Bombyx mori: one gene and its partner. The protein of the gene in region 2 interacts with the protein of the main gene of each other region in a biochemical or structural test. Links are inferred from orthologs where the notes say so. Each region holds a gene or a part of one and is shown on either strand. Other genes may lie near its edges.

Region 1 (3,977 bases), on a different chromosome or scaffold from region 2:
AGTTCACGCATTGTCGCTTAGTCATGTTTGCCTTTCAAACGTCGATATGTGTATCTGTAAAAATGTTCATTTGTTCAACCCACCAACCCGAGAGTAAATCAAGCAAACAAACCTATCTTTAGACTTCCTGCCTCGACTGCGGCTTCGAGAGCGACTCTTGCTGCGGCGTTTGTCCTTATGTCTGTCTCTACTTCTGCTCCTTTCTCGATCTTTATCCCTGAATATAGATTGAAACAAATTTAATCAAGTATAAATGATAAATCTATACTAATATATAAATCTACAGTGGTTTTTGCGGATGTTCCATTATAACTACTGAACCATGCATTTGATTGCCTTGAAACTTGGTATCCATGTAGAAAATAGATTTACTTAATGGATAGGCTTATATTTATATGAGTGTTAGACTCCCTACACCAGTTGCGGGGGCGCTAATGATGAGCATCTTTGTGGGGGTGAGAAATAATAATGTTCATTTAAATGCACAGCGAAGCGGACGGGTACAGCTAGTCATTGATAAATACAATACCTAAACAGACCAAAAGTGAACACAAAATTAAAATTTTGATTCAATTAGCTGTCTTATAATATTTTTGAGAAAAGCATAAATAGAAAATTACATGATTTATGGGGCTGACATAAGTTTCACTTGCTTGGGATTGTGTAGTAGTAGTGTGTAGATTTGCAACTATATTAAAATTGTTCTTTTTATGCAAGTTGCCTCGTTTCCATCATTGGCTTGAACTCATAAATGACTAAGTTAGCTTTTGTAAATACATACACATGCTGTTAAGTGTTTTTTTTTTATTATTAGTTAGTGTTAACAGTGAAATAAGCCTTTTAACAAACTGGATTAATAGAAATAATTTTTAATTGATGCTAGTACTAAGATAGAAAACCCATCTATAGATAAAACAAAATAAAACATAAACAAAACTGCACCTATGAACATTTAAGATGTACTTATTTATATGACAACAAGTAAAAAACCCCCATTTCTTTATAAACATTGTTTTAAGATGTATATTATTATAAAAGCAAATCTTTAAATTCACTTTGGTTGATAATTATAATTAATTTCAAAATTACAATTCATGTGGCTTATTTATTTAATAGACAGAATCAAAAATTTCTAATTTGGTCATAAAACCTTTATTAAGGTTGGTTTCATTTTTTGCATGTTTACTTTTAAAATGGCTGTTTCAAATTTCCATATTCTTTGCATTTTAAAAAAGCTTGTAGTTTTTTGAAAAATACTATTTTCATTTTCTGGACTCAGTATCAATTATTTTGTTTTTGTCTCCTATATCATTCAATATATTCTTGTCTTCACTATCTATACTTATGAACTTGTATCCATCAATAGTAGTAACACTTGAATCATTTTGATGCTCTGTGTTATCTACTTTCCTTTTACTTAATTCTCTATATCCTTCAATTATATTACCTAAGCTTTATAATAATTTCAGATATCTTGAAGTTAGGATTTTTATTGCCCTTGTAGGCAGATGAGCATACGGCCCACCTCATGGTGTGTGGGTATCGTCGCCCCTGGACTTCAGCAATTCCAGGGGCAGTGCCAAGTCGCTGCCCATAAAAGGATATTTTAGTTATAAGAATTAAAATTGAATTATAAATTAGATGGAATAATTGGTCAATGTTTTCCTTCCAAAATAATTGAATGGTTGTTTGGATTTCAGACACCAGATGTGAAGAGAGACTTGTCATAGTTGTCACTAAGCAAGGGCGAGGGGAGTTCAGTTTACAGTCAGATGGTATGTGGTAACAAATATATATGAAGACACCCTGTGGACAAACACGGTGGTTCTAAATAGTGTGGATGAACGATGATCCGGTGATGAGTGGTGTGATCGTAAATTATGATGTTGGGGTCATCAATGCCTCAGAGAGTTCCTAATAGAATATATGGTACAATACACAGATAGACTTAAGTTTCTGTTCTTCTAATTTCTGTCATTTGTATGTCCTGATGGTTTCCTCACTCAATTGTGAACTCTAAAGATTTAAATGCTAACAGGGGACTGTTCAAGCATGAGCAAATTGGAACCATCATTCTGTAAATTTTCCCAAGCAACAATCATACGCTCAGATTTAAGGGATATAACAGCTAATGTACCACAGCAATTGAGCCATCAATGTAAAGGTGAAGAGTGACATCCTCATGGCATTTTTCTAAGCAGACCAGTAACCGCTGACTTCAAGTGGAACTCTTTTAAGCTCAATTAAACTTGAAATACAATCACAAAACTCGCTTTTACCACGATAAATTCATATCTGGTGAACTTTTTAATGACAATGTGACATATTTACCTTTTGGAACGACGGCGGTCCCTGTCGCGGTCTCGATCACGATCCCTATCCCGGTCCCTGTCTCTATCGCGATCTCTATCCCTATCCCTGTCCCTATCACGATCACGGTCCCTATCGCGGTCTCTATCACGACCGTGATCTCTATCCCGGTCCTTGTCGCGGTCGCGGTCCCTATCCCGGTCTCTGTTCTTCTCGCGATCACGATCTTTATGACGATCACGGTCTCTCGAACGAGATCTGCTCCTATCACGGTGTCGAGAACTCATCACAAGTAATTATGAAATAGCAACGTTTTATTGATTCGTTAACTTCAGTATCACTTATTATGCTTAAATAAAATCAAAGACCTTTTTGTGATCTTATGTACGCGAGCGAAAACCACTTTCTGCAAACTATAATCGACACGATAGCCGCCTGCCGACAAAACAGACGCAATCAAAATTAACAAAATGGTGGTTACCATAGATTTCATAGATAATCGTATTTTTTGGGTATGGCAACTTGTTGCATTACTATTAGTGCCAGCCTCGAGCTTAAAACTTAAAACACAATTAAGTGGGAAATTTTCAAATAGCAGATAAGCCATATACTTCCTTCTGTGAATCTAGCATGACCACTCGAGGTCACTAAAATAGGTAGGAAAAAAATTTCGTTTAGTCACAGTAATTAGCGATTTAAGCTATTTATTTTTTAGCTCGAGATGTAGGGCCAGAAATCCATCCATCACTGCGACACACATGGATCTTTTGTGGGTCAAATGATCTATCAGGATTTTTCGTATATCTTTACAAAGTATCTGTTTGTGAGGTTATTAAAATACCATAATATCAGGAAGAACTATCTAAGGAAAAGTAGTATTTTTTTTATATTAGAGCTAATACGAAATATAAGAAGAGGATTCGAAGAGGTTCTATAGATGACCTAAAATAATAAGATAATGAATAAATATCAAACTTAATGTCTGCGTTGCGCGTTGCTAGAATTTTTATAGTCTTTAACTTTTCAACATGACAAGATATTCAGTAGCAAAAAAGCACTGGATTTTAACGGAACCGAGGAAAGTTGTTTTTTTTAGGCAAATGGAGAGAAGAAACCTATAGCTTATTATTTAAGGGCTCGTGTATGGTTGTACAAAATTATCCATGTCCTCATAGAATAATTGAGAACATATAAATAAAAACAGAGTTGTTTAAAGAGCCCTGGCAGGCAACCAATAATAATTTCGGTACTTGTTAAACTTCTTTGTTGGTCGTTAATGACTCTGGAACCAAGGATAGCCTCAGGCCATAGCTTAATTTTTTTTTCTGATCTTAAACTGAATTTGACCTTTTGGCGGGAGCGCTACGAGTGAAGTGTAAATGTTTTTTTTCTGTTAACATAGTGTTTATTCGGATTTAAATTTTTATTAACGATGACTTATTAACTCTTTAGCATCTGTGAAAGTGCATAAGGGTGGGAATGGTAGCTGGACTAGGCTCTCCGGTTCCTTCCAAAAAGTCGACTGAAGTCGGTAAATTCTAACTACTTTGCTGAGACTATTTAATTTCATCTCATGCCGTTTAACTTAAATTTATCCCGATTGATTTCAATAACAAATAAGCTTCACGTAATTTCCATTCATAGCATTGTTCATAATATAACAGAAT
Region 2 (3,515 bases):
TACGTTCCTGGCCTGTCCTGTAATACGACCGTCTGTTAGAAGCGGGACTTCGGAAGCGACGTCGCCTCGGGAGGTAAGTGCGAGCTACCGACCCGCCGCCGCCGCACGGAGCGGCTGTGTCCGCGACCTGCCCGCGCGCCCTCTACCGGGACTACTAAACCTCACACTAACTAGGCGCGCCGCGGGCACCGTCGCGACCCACATCCGCTCGCGTCGCTATAAAAATCATTTGTCAATAGTAATGATAATATATATATATAAATATAGAGATATATAAAACAGACAAATTATTCAGAGATAACAAATCAATGGCATTGTTATCGGGAGCGTGCGAGCGTCGCCCGCGCCCGGCGGCCGCCGTCTCGACTCCCCTCCGAGAGCAGTGCCACAGACAGACATTAACTTTCAATTATTTCATATTCATTTATTAAGAAAATTAAATGTAATCAAAGTCACGACTCAGGTGATTAGATCATTTCGCAAGCGCATGTGTCCGCCGGCACAGCGGCGAGACATGAGGCGCCGCTCGACGCGGGCGGGGATCGAACCCGCACTCGTGGACACTAGATTATCTAAAGGTATAACATTAGGCAATTCAGTTTATGCAGAAACTGAGAGAGTACATTAACATCAAGACGGAGCAGTTCATTCAGAGAGCGTTCCCGCGTGACGTCACACGATCTGGACAGTGATGGCGGCGGGGGACAGGTGGGGGGCCGCCCCCGACCTCAGCTGTTCTCTACTGTTATATGTCCCCCTACAAATCCAGATATTGTTTTCGTCTCCAGTGCGAGCCCCGGAGCGGGCCGGGGGCGGGGGCGGGGTTGGGAGTGGAGGTTCGGGCGTGGAACTGACCTGTTCTCTCTTCCGCTCCTTCTCCTCCTTGTCCCTCTTCCTGATCTCGGCGAGGTACTCGTTGAAGTATACCTCCCTGTCCCGCGGCTTCTCTATCGCCTTGAACCGCTCGTCTCGGCCGTGCTTGGAGGAGAAGTCCAGGAACGAGGACCTGGCGATGGAAAGCGCTAGTTAGTACCAAGCTAAATCTAATATTAAAAAAAAAGCCATGCCCGCTGAGTTTCTTCCCAGTTCTTCTCAGGACGGAGGCTAGTTTTTGTGAATTGGCAGTAGTTCTTTTTGACGTTCAACAAGTATGTACTTATATGTATATTGAATAAAATAAAAAATTTGATTTCATTTGGTGCGTAGTGCCGCTACGTACTTTGTATGAAGCTTGGCTTCGTCCAAGAGTTGCTTGAAGTTCGCCTTCTTTGCTAGCAATCGGTTTTTCTTCTCCTTCCTCTCTTCCTCGGCGCGTTCTGTCACGTACTGATTAAATATCTGTGCAAATAACTATAGTTCAACATCATTTCAACATTTAGGCTCGGTTCTGCCCCTGGCATTGCTGAAGTCCATGGGCGACGGTAACCACTCACCATCAGGTAGGCTGTGTGATCGTCTGCCTACAAGGGCTAAAAAAATCAATTTTTTTTTAGACGGGTCAGATTACTGGTGGCTCAGAGACGTTTTCAATTCCACCAGGACGGGAGGGGTGGGCCCGAGTATGGGTTAGTTACCAGAGCCCGCTCATAGCAGCTGCCGTGAACGTCTGATAGTTGTGTTAATGTATCTGTGAAGTCTAAACGTGCGTTTCTTTTTTTTTTTATTGCATAGATGTGTGGACGAGCTCACAGCCCACCTGTACATGTACAAGTATAGTACAGTATAGTACAGTGCGGCACGTGCCTGGCGCCGCTCCTTGCAGTTGAGCACGAGGTAGCGCGGCTCGAAGACGATCTTGTGCAGCTCCTTGTCCCAGGTGCTGAAGGCGGAGACGTTCTTCTCGCGCAGCATGGCGCGGAACGACGCCACGCGCTGCTCGTGCGGCACCGCCACGCGCACGCGCGCCGCCCGCGCCTCCGCCTCCGCCGGGCTCACCTCCTCCAGCTCTGCAACATATGCGTGCAGGTCACACACGGTGGGAGTCAAGAACTAGAGGTCCCGCAGTAGTCGAAATTCGACTATAATTAATTGGAATTGTAAGTTTGCACACTGTTATGATTGTATTTTCAACGCCAAGACTACAACACTATAGACAAATATTAACAAAGAAACAATATTTAATCTATTCTCAATTTGACCACAGACGTCAAGAACAAAAGTTTGACAATAAATAAATAGTATGCATGCGAGTGTGCGTCAAATACATGTTATGTAGTGTGTGTAATGTTTTCTTTATTGATTTAATGTATCTTTTATGCATTGTGAACGTTTCATTTTTTCGTTTCATCGAGTTTGATATCACATCACAGTGATCCTAAAGAAGTTTCACTTCAATAATAATGCAGATTAAGACATTATTGAAAGCATCGTCTCCCATATAAAGACGATTTATTACTAAAAGCGCGGAAACACACATCGTTTGTACTATTTCTTTTATAAAATAAACTCAGTGCCAGTCACAGTTTCCTTTTTTTAAAAGAGCTCTTGAACGCACCCCGTAACAGGACCACGGACCGCACCCACCCAGACTGCTGGTCATTCATTGCCAAAAACATTTTAGGATTATATGGGACAAGTGGCCCGCTCCGGCTCCGCTCGGGTCTTTAACAAAAATTTCAACGATGTTTGACGTTGTTTTATTTGTTTAAATAAAAGAACGCTTATTGCGGCATAACTATAATTGTTAGACATATGCTGTCGTGACACTTTGTGTAAATAATAATGTGTTCTACAAAGTCGTAGTACATTATTTTATTCTATCATCAATAGTTTCGCAGGGCACGCGATGTAAAGAATATTTTTGGGTAATTTTTTCAAACCTTGGGTTATATTATTCGAGTTTTAGTAAGAATCCCTAATTCTTTTCAAAAAATATTATATCCTATGTCACTGGGGATTAGTATAGCTTCCAAACCGTGAAAGAATTTTTAACATCGGTTCAGTAGTTTCGGAGCCTATTCAATACAAACCAACAAACAAATCTTTCCTCTTTATAATATTAGTATAGAACAGCCTTTCTCAAAGTGGGCGATAACGCCCCTTTGTGGGTGCTGCAGACCTAAAGGGGGGCGGTAAGAGACCCAGAAAAAAATGGGGGCGTTGTGTAGAGGCTTGGGAAACGATTTGTAATTTCATCTAGAAGGACCCTTATATACCGACTAAGCTCTCGCTATAGTAGTTTTTAAGTAGGTTGAAAAATGGGGGCGCTAAAAATAATTTATTCTCAAAGTGCGCAGTAAACAAAATAACTTTGGGAACCACTGGTATAGAAGAACCAAGTCTCACGGCATCGTCGAGAGCATACTAACTTTCTTCAATCTTTGGTTTCTTGGCGGCGGTGGCGGCGGCGGCGGCGGCGTCCGCGTCGGCGTCGGCCGGGCGCTTGGTGTCGGCGGTGCTGGTGACGGAGGGCGTGGTGCTGGACACGCCGGGCTCCGACTCCTTGCCGCCCACGGTGGACGTGATGCGCTGCACAGAGGGGCGCGGCTACAGAGCGGTGCGGGGGTGCGGGTGCG

Evidence for each region. The genes of interacting proteins can lie anywhere in the genome.
Region 1: the proteins of transcription elongation regulator 1 (region 2) and splicing factor 1 form a complex in vitro, tested with the Homo sapiens proteins (3 studies listed by BioGRID). The link is inferred for Bombyx mori from reciprocal best matches to the Homo sapiens genes TCERG1 and SF1.

The regions. Positions count from the first base shown.
Region 1 is NC_085112.1:799,939-803,915, reverse strand, and holds the start of splicing factor 1, read right to left. Parts: upstream 2,806-3,977; 5' UTR 2,598-2,805; coding exon 2,332-2,597; intron 218-2,331; coding exon 113-217; intron 1-112. UniProt on the Homo sapiens protein: Necessary for the ATP-dependent first step of spliceosome assembly. Binds to the intron branch point sequence (BPS) 5'-UACUAAC-3' of the pre-mRNA. May act as transcription repressor.
Region 2 is NC_085130.1:19,188,178-19,191,692, forward strand, and holds part of transcription elongation regulator 1, read right to left. Parts: intron 3,469-3,515; coding exon 3,309-3,468; intron 1,947-3,308; coding exon 1,744-1,946; intron 1,339-1,743; coding exon 1,220-1,338; intron 1,007-1,219; coding exon 856-1,006; intron 1-855. UniProt on the Homo sapiens protein: Transcription factor that binds RNA polymerase II and inhibits the elongation of transcripts from target promoters. Regulates transcription elongation in a TATA box-dependent manner.